Kluyveromyces lactis: one gene and its partners. The protein of the gene in region 2 purifies or fractionates together with the protein of the main gene of each other region. This does not show direct contact. Links are inferred from orthologs where the notes say so. Each region holds a gene or a part of one and is shown on either strand. Other genes may lie near its edges.

What was found. The genes of interacting proteins can lie anywhere in the genome.
Region 1: the proteins of PRP45 (region 2) and HSH155 purify together in Saccharomyces cerevisiae (affinity purification with mass spectrometry, with the first as the bait; 3 studies listed by BioGRID). This does not show direct contact. The link is inferred for Kluyveromyces lactis from reciprocal best matches to the Saccharomyces cerevisiae genes PRP45 and HSH155.
Region 3: the proteins of PRP45 (region 2) and PRP19 purify together in Saccharomyces cerevisiae (affinity purification with mass spectrometry; 5 studies listed by BioGRID, with this or other methods). This does not show direct contact. The link is inferred for Kluyveromyces lactis from reciprocal best matches to the Saccharomyces cerevisiae genes PRP45 and PRP19.

What each region holds. Positions count from the first base shown.
Region 1 is NC_006037.1:833,989-838,658, reverse strand, and holds HSH155 (U2 snRNP complex subunit HSH155), read right to left. Parts: upstream 3,007-4,670; coding exon 142-3,006; downstream 1-141. Other genes in the region: APL6 (AP-3 complex subunit beta), read left to right, coding at 1-67; GPI-anchor transamidase subunit GPI16, read left to right, coding at 3,273-4,670. UniProt on the Saccharomyces cerevisiae protein: Contacts pre-mRNA on both sides of the branch site early in spliceosome assembly.
Region 2 is NC_006042.1:223,868-227,343, forward strand, and holds PRP45 (mRNA splicing protein PRP45), read right to left. Parts: upstream 2,175-3,476; coding exon 882-2,174; downstream 1-881. Other genes in the region: RNA-binding protein POP5, read left to right, coding at 162-806; protein phosphatase regulator GIP4, read right to left, coding at 2,358-3,476. UniProt on the Saccharomyces cerevisiae protein: Involved in pre-mRNA splicing. Associated with the spliceosome throughout the splicing reactions, until after the second catalytic step.
Region 3 is NC_006040.1:326,847-330,539, reverse strand, and holds PRP19 (E3 ubiquitin-protein ligase PRP19), read right to left. Parts: upstream 2,183-3,693; coding exon 707-2,182; downstream 1-706. Other genes in the region: KLLA0_D03905g (glutathione peroxidase), read left to right, coding at 1-412; OCA5 (Oca5p), read right to left, coding at 2,567-3,693. UniProt on the Saccharomyces cerevisiae protein: Probable ubiquitin-protein ligase involved in pre-mRNA splicing.

The sequences.
Region 1 (4,670 bases), on a different chromosome or scaffold from region 2:
TGATGATACCGATGATATTGAAGAAGGTGAGGAAGACGACAGGAGTTCTACTTCTTCCGATCCTTGAGAGATCACTAACTTAGTTTAAAACCAATAGAATCTTTAATTTTTAACTACATAATAATTACTGCAATTTTCTAGTTATAATAACAAGTTAAGCTCTTCTACCTCATTGACAGGGTAGTACGGAACCAAAGCATCTGGTTGAGCGACGTATGCTCCGTTATATAGTTTCCAATATGCGTTCCGAACATTCTTAGCAGGATGAAATAAACCTCCCCAGGCATAATTCATAGAAACACCTGGTCCTAGAGCCATTCTTAGTCCTTCTAGCCCCTCTAGGATTCTGGAAATAACATGAGGTGAAGTTTCAAAGACGTTTGGCAATAATAAATTCATGCAATGGATGAACGCGTCCTCTAATCCTCTTCCTGCACAATTGAAAGCTAAATGCTTTATGCAGGTTGCTGCAGTTTGTCGATGAACCAAGTCCCTATCTGTTAGAGCATCCTGCAACAACGGTATAAGTGGATAAATGTAATCCTTAGACATGGGACCAATGTATTCTAAAATAAAGGCAAGTGCCTTTAAAATACCGTTCTGTACGTTTGTGTCAGGTGTTCTGTATTCATTCATCAATGCAGGTATGACAACAAATGGCCCACATGTCTTAGCAACGATACCAATTGCAATAGAGGTGTTAACACGAAGTTGACGTTCTTGCACCTTCAAATTATTTAACAACGTTACCAAAACATCCTGAGGTCCTATCGCTTTGGCAATATATCCAAATGTTCTGTTCGCTGCCACCCTGATGGACTTCACAGGACTTTTTAACATTTCCAAAAGCTCAGAACAAATGCGCATCCATTCTTTAGGAGAAACATATTCAGGCCCACGCCTGGCAATTCTTCCAACAAGTTTAACAGTAGATTCCTGGACTAAAGGATGGTTGTTTCTCAAAATTGGTGTCAATGATAGTAAAATTTGATTCGGAGGTGGTTGTAAGTCAGTTAGCCTTATCTGTGCAGCAGCTTTGTCCATTGCGGAAATGATTGCAGCTAACACCTCTGGATAAACTTCGCCTAACGATTCAAAAAGGATAATGTTGAATTTATTGATAAGAGCTGTTTCTTCACAGTGTTTGAAAACCGGGATCAAGAGGGCACATAAACTCGCCGCATGTGTTCTAACCAAAGGTTTTTTGTGTTTCAAATGTTCTAGAATAATACTTGACACCGGCGAAATATACGGTTTCATTCTGGTATTCAAAGATTTGGCGACAGTTCCAATAGATCTGTAGACAATTCTCTCACCATTCGTTTGATCTTGGAATGCAATAAGTAAAGCATCAAGCAACCTCGCTTCAAGCCTTTCATCAACATCTGTCATTCCTAATGCTTTCACAACTCTGTTAACTGCATGTGCACCCATTGTTCTGAACGGTTCAGATTCATCCTTTAATGGATATATAAGCTTTTCAAGCGTGAATGCAGCTCCAGTCTTATTAGCCAATAAAACAGTAGTAAATGTTACTATGTTGTTGAGTTGACGATCCAAAGCCGATCTACGAACCCAAAATTGTTTGAAAAACTCTGCTGCTAGCTCTTTTCTCAGATACTGAGGTGTTACACCTTCAGTCACGGAAAGCTTTTGTATAACAAATAGAACCGTTTTCTTCATATCTTCGTTCGGTGAATTGAATTCTCTCTTTACAATCTTCATCACTTCTTCAGCGTAATACGACGCATATTCGGGATCCATCAACGGAATGAGAAATCCTAGAGCCTTCAAAAATGCAGCTAGTTCTCTTCCCCTGTTTTGTTTAACACCTCTCCAAAGTGGTTCGAGGACCGGATTAAAGCGCTCAATACCATATGGCTGGCAGCTTTGTGCCAATGATGACACTGTTTGAGCGGCTATGATTCTCACTGGAGGATGTTCATCTTGAAATCCCTTCTCTATACATGCGATAAGATCGTCGAGGTATGGTAAGCTACCAATCCCTACTAAAATAGCAATTTGCTGAATTATCTTTATCCCAGTATGTCTTGCCTTCCAGCTCTTTTTCGATCTACAAACCAATCGTAGGAATGGTATTGTTTGACTTACCCCGAAGGCTTTCGATACAACGGCCATTGCTCTCGCCGTCGTGTTTCGCACATACTCATCCTCATGGTCGAGATCTGGTCTCATTGTGTATATCATTGTCGGTAGTCCCACGGCTTTTGCCAAAGTAGTTATAATATCTCTACCTGTAGATCTAGTCAAGGGCACAGGATCTATAAGCATAGGACATAATACTATTAGGAGCTTATGTGTATATGGTTTTACCAAATCCTGGAGCTGGAAAAGAATTCTATCCATAAGTTTCAACATTAGTTGATGCTCTTCATCTTCAAGTGTTTTATCGAGAAGAATGGGCAAGATCGAATCAAATAACAATGGTGCCCCGAAAGAGGGTGCCTTTTGAGTGAGTGCTCTGAGAGCTATTTTCCTAGAGCTTGGTAACCCATTTTTCACCTTAAGTACCAATTTTAAAACCTGTTTCTGTTTCCTTTCCTCTTCAGTCATATCTTCTGGAGACCTTTCATCAAACAAAATTGCGAAATGTTGTCTGTCTGAAGGCTTAAAGAACTGAAGATTACGTACCCCTGGAACTTCAGTAACCATCTCTTCCGAGAGCTCAGTTATAATATGCTGCGAAGTCTTGGGCATCGTATATCCACCGCCACTTTCCTCTTCCTTATCACCATCCTTATCGGTTTTCCTTCTTTTCACATCTTTCACTTGCTCTTCATCCACTTCTTCATCCAAATTCCTAAGGAACCTTCTCTTATGATAATCAGACTGTTTATTATACAAGCTTCGTTGCTTCTGGTTGGCTGTCAACTCATCATCCCCCTCATCTTTCCCTACAGTCGATTCCAATATGGCTCTGGGAGCAGTGTATTGTCCTGTAAGAGAATGTCGCTGGCCCGACTTTTCGAACTTGATAGCTTCCATTTTAAGTACAGCTGTTTAATACCAAACTCGGCAATAGCAATAAAGATCCTGATTGGTGCTTGCCTTTCAGTTATACCTTTCTTCCTTTTGATTCAAAGGTTCTTGACATCAAAATTGTTACTAAGTTGTAACTCGAATCTTTAATTATAAACACATATACAAAACAAAGAACGATACTTCTCAACAGAGAAAAGAGGATAGTTTAGTTAAGAGGCCAGAAAATAGCCTAACTTTTAGAAAAGTATTATACTCTGGGTCCATACCGCATGAGGTTACAAAATTGGATTCCAGTTTTGCTTCTAGCAGCCATCGTGACGGCTGAAGTAGACTTTGAAGTTAATCCAGTTGACAACGAAACAGAATCAGTTCAGCAAGATGTTATAGATGAAAGCTGGAATGCAGAGCCTGGGGAATCATCGAGAATAACACAGTCCTCGAAGTTTCTTTCACTAGAGCATCCTATTGAGTATAATTTTCGAGAGCATCTGGATCTAACTCCCTTGCCTAACAACTTTTTGCTTGCAAGTTTTCAGTTCTATATGCAATCAGAGCCATTTGGTATAGATAGAGACCAGCACGAATCCAGTGAATACTCTCATCACACAGTTTTCCCGAAGCCCGTTGGGCCCATTATGTCACAGACTAATACCAGACAGTTACACTTGAGATTTACACATGGGCTATGGGATTCACAAGAATGGGGCCAGCTTCCACACAACGGGTTGAAATCTGGAGGAACAGGTGTGGAATTATGGGCTATTGTGGAAGCACCATCGAAGGAAGAAGCGTTGAAATCATGGATAACGTTGGCCAATTCGTTAAGTGGATTGTTCTGTGCTTCCATCAATTTCATTGACACTTCAAAGACGACGTTTCCGGTATCATCATTCTTACCGAAAGAAGACGAAGCGATCCCACTACTGAATCAAAGCAACCATCTTTACCTCATGAGAGCAACTTTAGCCAACGAACCGGTTTGTACTGAAAATTTGACCCCATTTGTAAAACTTTTACCAACAAGAGGGAAATCTGGTATCTCCTCTTTGTTAGATGGCCACAAGATCTTTGATTCAAATTGGCACAGTCTGTCGATTGATGTCAATACTGTTTGTGACGAATCAACTGCCAATTGCCACTTTGTTATGGAAGAATTTATCGAAACAGTGGTCAACGTACCAAATGCTTTGGCCAGAGCTGACAGACCAATTCCGAAGCCTTTACCAGGCGACGAACTTCGTTGTGACACGAATAGACCACACGACGCGTTCCAATGTTTCCCGTTACCTCAAAGCAAAGAAGTTAGTTTCAGCATCTCAAAACTATTTGGTAAGAAAATCCGTGGAGGCAGCTTGCTTGGCGAACAAAGCTCAAAAATATGTGTTCACGTTCCCTCACATTGGGACGTTATGATACAGGTCGACGAATCATATTTTGCAACCGACGACAACTGTTTCGATCTCAACAATAACAAACCACATGATGTTCGCTTGGAAACGACAGACTCTAAGAGTGTACTACCCTCCAAAAAGACTCCAATATACGTTTCCAGAGCTCTCACTGGTTATGGCCAAGACCGTGGCGGGTTAAGATCAGTATTTCGTAATCCTTCCAACGAAGCTGTGGAATTAGTTTATTTTGAATCCTTGCCTTGGTTCATGGGAGTA
Region 2 (3,476 bases):
TATAGAGAATGAATTATCTGATATTTACACAATCTGTTAGTTAAGGTTGGTGATGCGGCAATAATGCATAAAATATTGGACATGCTTGGCGTATTCTCGTTCTTCTTCTGTGACTTGAATGCGACAAACCAAAAAAAAAAAAAAAAAAAAAAAAAAGAGAGATGCTTCACATTACAAGATTTAGAGTTATGATGGAGATCAACTGTGAAGGAATCAAGATTTTGATAAAGGACGGTTGTGCAACAACGTTTATTCGGGGGTTTCATCCTACTATTAATAAAACTTGCTGTCATAATAGGCAAAATAGAAGAAATCCAATGGTTCGTTTAAAGAGCAGATACATTCTTTTCGAAGTACTATATCCAGATGTAGATGATGAGTACGAAACAGTGCCAGATATAACCAAGAAGGACATTTTAACCACGCATCACAAAGTATCACCAAATACTATCAGTCCGAGAAATATTTTGCAGGAACTACGAAAACAATTACAGGTGAATTTCGGGGACTATGGCTTGGGAAAGGCTACGGCTTTGTTACAGATCAAATACTTTTCGAATAGAACATCAACCGGTATAATACGATGTGGCCATGATGACCATCAGTACGTAATAATGGCACTTGCTTTGATGAACCAGATTGAATCTGTTGGGCCCATCATAATGAATCCAATAAAAGTTAGCGGAACTATTAAAAAAGTTGAGTTATTTGCTATCAGAAGAAGTCACCGTTTGAACCGAATACTTCTGACAGATGATAGGAATGATGAGTTTTCTTCAATCACTGACGATGAAAATAATGACTGATTCGCTGATTTCATTCAATTAGTAGTGCTTGAATATTATTACATACAATTATATCAGTATATCGGTATCGCACAATTAAGAAGTATGAGGCTTCTTACGCACTTGAAGACCGTATTCTCTGGCATGCTCGTTATCTTCCTCATTCTGTTCCGCATTTTTGCCATCATCAGCAGCGGAGAACTCTACCGGTCCAGTTCTTCCTTTCTTATTTGAGAGTCGATCAACAATATCTTCGTTTTCTAAGTTAGAACCAGTAGTTGGCCTGTAAATGTTGTCAATCTGGCTATTATTGAACAATGGATGGTCGAAAATTTGATTTGAAGATGATGCCACAGATGATGCCGCTTTCTTGAACAAGCGGGAATCGTACTGAAGATCTGGGGTCTCGGTGGCTTTTGCAGCATTTAAAACAACTTTATCAGAAACATCTCTTCCTTGTTGGTACGCCAATCGTCTTAACTTTTCTGCTGTGCTCATTTTATTCGACCGTTCCAATTCGCGTTCTGCTCTCCTACGTTGATTACGCTCCATTTCCCTAACATAATGATCTTCATTTTCGTACTGTCGCCTATTTTCCCTATCCTGTCTAGCACGTTCAGCTAAGTGACGTAACCTTTGTTCTTTTTTTAAAGTTTCTTCCTTCTCTAACTCCTTGTACGCCTCTTGCTTAATGTTGATTCTCTGTCTTGCTTCTCTTTCTGCTTCGTCTAGTGCCTCAGATAGCAGAAGGAAATTGTCCTTCTTATCATTATCTGGGCAGTCCGTCTTTATTGATTCAATAGCAACTCTATTATCCAAAGAAATAGCAAATCCGTTAGGATTCTTCCAGTTCGAAATGGCGGATGGAATTCTCCATTTATCAAGCTCTTCCTTTGTAGGTTTAATACTAGGGTCATCCGACTTATGAAGTATAGGCGCCTGAATTTCTTCCGATGGTACAACGACCTTCCTTTTCCTGTGTGTTACCGGTTGTAAAGGATCCTTCTTATGTTCTATTACTTTAACTGAACGTTGAGTACCAGATTTTACAGAGCTTATTGCTTCTCTTTTTACGATGTCCTTGTTCGCAATAGACGATAATTGTAGAGAGCTCTTTTTCGTTAGCAGCGAGTCTAGAAACGCCTTAGTCTTTACATATGTTTGATTAATCTGTGATGTCGATGGGAACGGTGCCTCTAGTGATATATCACGTTGTCTAAGAGGTACAAAGTCAGATATTGAGGCCACTGGTAGATTCTCCGGTCGTAGCTTGTCTAATATTATTGTATCCTTTATGTTTTCCTTAGATTGTCTAGAAAATGCTGAAGACTCGGAGACTTCTGAGTTTTGCGGACTCGGTAGCAATGAGCTGAGTGTCCTGAATGACATGTCAGACCGTTCTAGTGGTGTTATAACAGGTTTGTTCCTATGTTTCAAGCCTTACCTACTTTACTTTATAAATTATGGGAATGTTCAATAGTTAAATATTTTCTCTAAATTTCAAATACATTGTTAAAAGTTGATATTATAATGGAAATAAGTTCACTGCAAATAGAAATTAAAAGATTCTTTCTATTTAAACAGTTTATCCTTGATTTTACCCACTATTTTAGTATCCGCCCCTTGACCTGATGAGTACATGCTGTCAAAACCGAACTTTTTATCAGAACCTTGGTCTCTGGAGATCAAACTTGTGCGAAATGCAAGACCCTCTTGAGTTGTTCTGAATTTTTGAAGTGAGTGCTGTGCAGGTGGAGGTGGATAATGCAACACGGCAGGCTTCTTGTACCATCCGCGTCTTTTAGGCTCAGGGTTTTCATCTTGTGACATAGGCGGAACCCCTATAAATCTCACCTTTTTCACAATACCTTCAACTTCGCTGTCGTTGTTTGAAGACGACTGATTGTCATCGGCAACAGAAACTATGATCTTAGGAGTTTCACTACCTTCTGGAGATAACACTTCCTGAGAGACGATTAGAGTATCATCGTCCAGCTTCAGATCGTGGAATTTCTCATTGATGTCATCTTCGTCTACTTCATTTAGCTTCAATATGTTCACTTTGTTCCTCTGTTTTACGGAATTCTGCCGTGACACAGTTGGAGAAGGTGATTTTGATCTTATAGAATTATTCAGCTTTGTTGGTGTTAGTCTTGGGCCTCTTTTCTCATTTAACGAGAGTAATGCTTTTGAATATGCATTCTGTACAATTCTTTGTGTATTCAGAGAACCTGATTGAAGAGAATTGGATCTCATACCATTCCGAGCAGTGGAAGTATCTTCAAGACTTGATACTGATTGCAATGATGACGATCTGTTTCTTGTTCTGACTGATCTGGTCTTTTTAGCCGATATATTAGACTTCGCATCAGTGAAAGGTATTGGTGATGATGGGGACCTTGATTCTTCTGACCGCGAAACTGAAGATGTCCGGCTCAGTCTTAAAGGCGATAAAATATTTGGAGAAACGTTTAATGAGGAAGAATTTGAAGTTATGGAAGATGAAGATGATGTGTTTTTTTGTGAAAGACTGGAATTCTTTTTTTCCTCCCTTTGTCTTTCTTGTTCCTTTATTTTTTCGTTGTATGCTAGTTCATCTACAGCTAACTTTTCCTCCGCCATCTTTGCCATCTCATCGATGTTCATATCGTCATATTTGCTGGCTTTCATGTTATCTGATATACTTTTCCA
Region 3 (3,693 bases), on a different chromosome or scaffold from region 2:
TGTTGCATCGAAATGTGGCTTCCGAGGTCAATATGGAGAGCTACAAGAGTTGTACAAAGAATTCCATGCAAAAGGGTTTGAAATATTAGCATTCCCCTGCAATCAGTTCATGAACCAGGAACCTGGTTCCGATGAAGAAATAGGAAAATTTTGCCAGGAGCACTACGGTGTCAGTTTTAAAATAATGAAGAAGTGTAAAGTGAATGGTGTCAATGCTCTTCCGCTATATAAGTACTTGAAAGATCAACAACCGCGAATGTTTGGGTTCACGTTCGTTAGATGGAATTTTGAGAAGTTTTTGATCGATCGCTCAGGGAGAGTCCATGGACGGTATTCCACGTTGACGAAACCGAAAAGTATGAAGGAAGACATCGAACAATTACTAAAACAAAAAAGCCAACTACAATCATGACTAGCAGATGGTAAAGAAGAGTTCTTCGGGGTAATCCCTTTTTCATATTCTGTAATGCCATCTTCTTTCCCGTTTATTCACTTGCAAGAAAAACACAAACACAGTTCGATATTTAAAGAGCATGATTTTCACTTCTTTTTACGATGAAATCACGTACATATATGGGGGCGAGTTCATACATGTTCATTTTTCGACGTATTATCGGATCATATATTTAACGACTCTCACCATCAAATCAGTGATTATTCTAATAATTACAATTTTTATACCTTATTTAGGACAAGTATCATATATCTACTTCAACTCATATGTTATGCATTTATTCTCCGAGATGACGTTCAAGAAATATCCTTGATCTATTTTTACCAATGTCATGGATTCTGCTGTATTTGTTTCGATCGGAAGAGTAGATTTTTCGACAAATGACTGTCCCTTAACATACTCATACCATTGTACTTGTGAATTACCCATGCTTACGAAAAAACCTTTAGCTGTATCGTCCAACTCCACACTGATGATATTCTCAGCGAAAGAAAGTGGTTCCATTGCCAAGGTGCCTGGATCCTTTCTTAAATCGTAAACATTCAAGTCAGAATCACCAAAGACAAACATCCAATAACCGTTCAAACCAAAGTCTACTCTTTTAGCTGGGAAGCCAGTTGAAAATTTAATCGGATCTTTTGTAGCAGCCAATAGGTTTATTACATATACACCTTCGTTTTGGTTACCAATAGCAAGAAGAGCTCCATCTTTATGATAATTCACAAATTGAACGGAATCGTTCAATTTAACTTGTGAGATGGTGAACAGTGCTTTTTTGGTAACTTCATACCCATATATTGTACCTCTTTCAGTTACGAATAAGAAGTAAGAATCCGATATTTGATGAGGATAAGCCATAAATATCACTGGCCCATCAGTTCCTTCCAAAACTTCTTCATACAACAAAGACTTTGTATGAAGGTCATACGCTGCTAATAGTCCCTGGGTGAAGGTGTATAGAACGTCTTTAAACTCCACCAGATATTCTGTGGCTTGTGACACATCAAGAATAGAATCTTGAGGTCCAAACACAAAAGCTTTGTCATTATCTTTTACAACAACAGATCTTTCATTAAGATTGACATGCTGATTTCTGCTAATCAAATCAATTTCAGAGAAATCTGTCGATTGAACGACTGAAACGTTGGAGAAGTGTTGTAGCTTTTTCTTAGACTTTTTGGAATTTGTCACGTACTCTTGAGATTTCGTCGATAATTCTGAAGTAAAGTCTGATAGAATTTGGTCTGAGTTCTGGAGTTTATCAATAGTTCCATCATTTTCGACATTCGAGGAAGTTATTGCCGATGTAAGTTCTGCTAATTCTTGCTTCAGCTGATCTCGCTCTACAAAAGCTTTTGCTGCCGCTGATGCAACAGCGTCAAACCTGTAAAGTGTATCACTGAGATTCTTTTTACAAACGTCTAACTGCTTCCTTAATTCGAAATTCTCGAGCATTACTGCATCCCATTCTTTCTGCAAAGTTGACAATAGACTTGGAATGCTATAGTTGTTTGCGATAGTAGACGAGCTCAATGATTCTGAAAGTGATATCTGCTGTGGAGTCGCATTGATTTCAACCAAATCTGTTTTTTGTAATGGATCATCCGTTATGGGATCTGTTCCTTTCTGTTCAATATACTGTTCGATTAGATGCTGTTCAAATATACATTTGGAATTAGGTGAAAGAACAGCTTTTATAGGTGGTTTCCCACTAATTGCACAGAACATAATTAGCGTACCTCAATTTAGCCAGTCCTTAAGTAGTTTCACCAGAAGTAAGCCCCAAGGTTCTCCTTTTTGAAGCCATTATCTAATTATGTATATCGGTGCTTCATCTTTCATGTAACATTTATGTTGGTTTTCTAATGTTAAATAAAAATGCTTTCGTTTCTCTTTTGAACATGCAAAAAAATACTGGATGAAGAAATGACTTTATTTAACAAATCAACTCACATCTTAGTTGGCTGGTTAGAACGCTCCAACAGGTTAGAATACAATCTGCAATATTCATAGAGCTCGAGATGTATATAGTATTTTTATATATATATATGCTAATTAAAGGAAAAGAAGATATACTACATACAAGAAAGACACAAATATAATGCTGATATATCATTCTTCTATGAATTCTTCCATTTCCTGCCAAGCCCAATTTCTCCAGATGTCTCCAGCCTGCTGGTAGATGTCATCAAACGAGTGTGCAGTCTTATCGTCAGTACCGACCTCTATCATCATATGATTTGAAGAACTTGGTCTAATTCCTGAAGCGTTGGATTCATCTGTGTCTGTCGAACTTCCACTAATGTCATCATCCTCGTACATCTTCTTGAAGTTGTAGTCATCGAATTTTGATATCAGTGGGACATTATTTAAGAACTCGGTGATCTCTGTTTCCTCAAACTCTAAAAGTTTAAATTCGTTATGTTGCATAATGGCAACATATATGAAAAGTAACTCCGCATGAGGGTTCAAGAGCGAATATGGAATCTCATTTTCTTGTGTTTCTGTAGTATGACCATCGTCCCCATATTTATTTCTTCGTATCAATTCCCGAATGACATCTTCATCTTGGTTCAATCCATTTTGACCGAGCCTTAACGACATCAAATCTGGGAACCAAAACTCATCATGTTCACATTTGCAAATCTTATGGAAAATCTCTGAACTCAGTTTCAATTCAGGTGGATAAATGCTTTCAAATGATTTATGGTTGTACTCGAGATAATAGTTGATTGATTCAGGACGTGGTCTCCATCCGAGCAACACATCCCATACTCTTCCTCTATCCTGACGATGCAACACTCTGCAACCACAACATTTGATCCACCAATACAACCAAGTAGCCTTCTTGGAACCTTGCAAAGCGCCTTCATCAGTGATGGGTTGATACAGTTCGGGTAACGTCTTGGCGAAAACCTTGAAGAACAATTGCGATTGTTGATTCAGATTCCCACTCTTAAGTAGGTGATAATTAGATTTATCAGGTTTTTCGTCTAATGCTGGAGCATGAAACAACACTAATACTAAACGCTCATAGATAGCGGCAAAATCAAACTCGGTATCAGGTAATTGATTCAGTAGTTCATCAGGAATTGGATATTCCTCATATAAATGTCTCAGACAAGAGTTATGATGATGGTGTTTCCGACCTGCCAAGACCAAATCATCGTTATTCTTCAAGGGACACCATTCTGCCAAGCCAAGAGCTATCCAGATGAGCCCCGACTCATATTTACAGA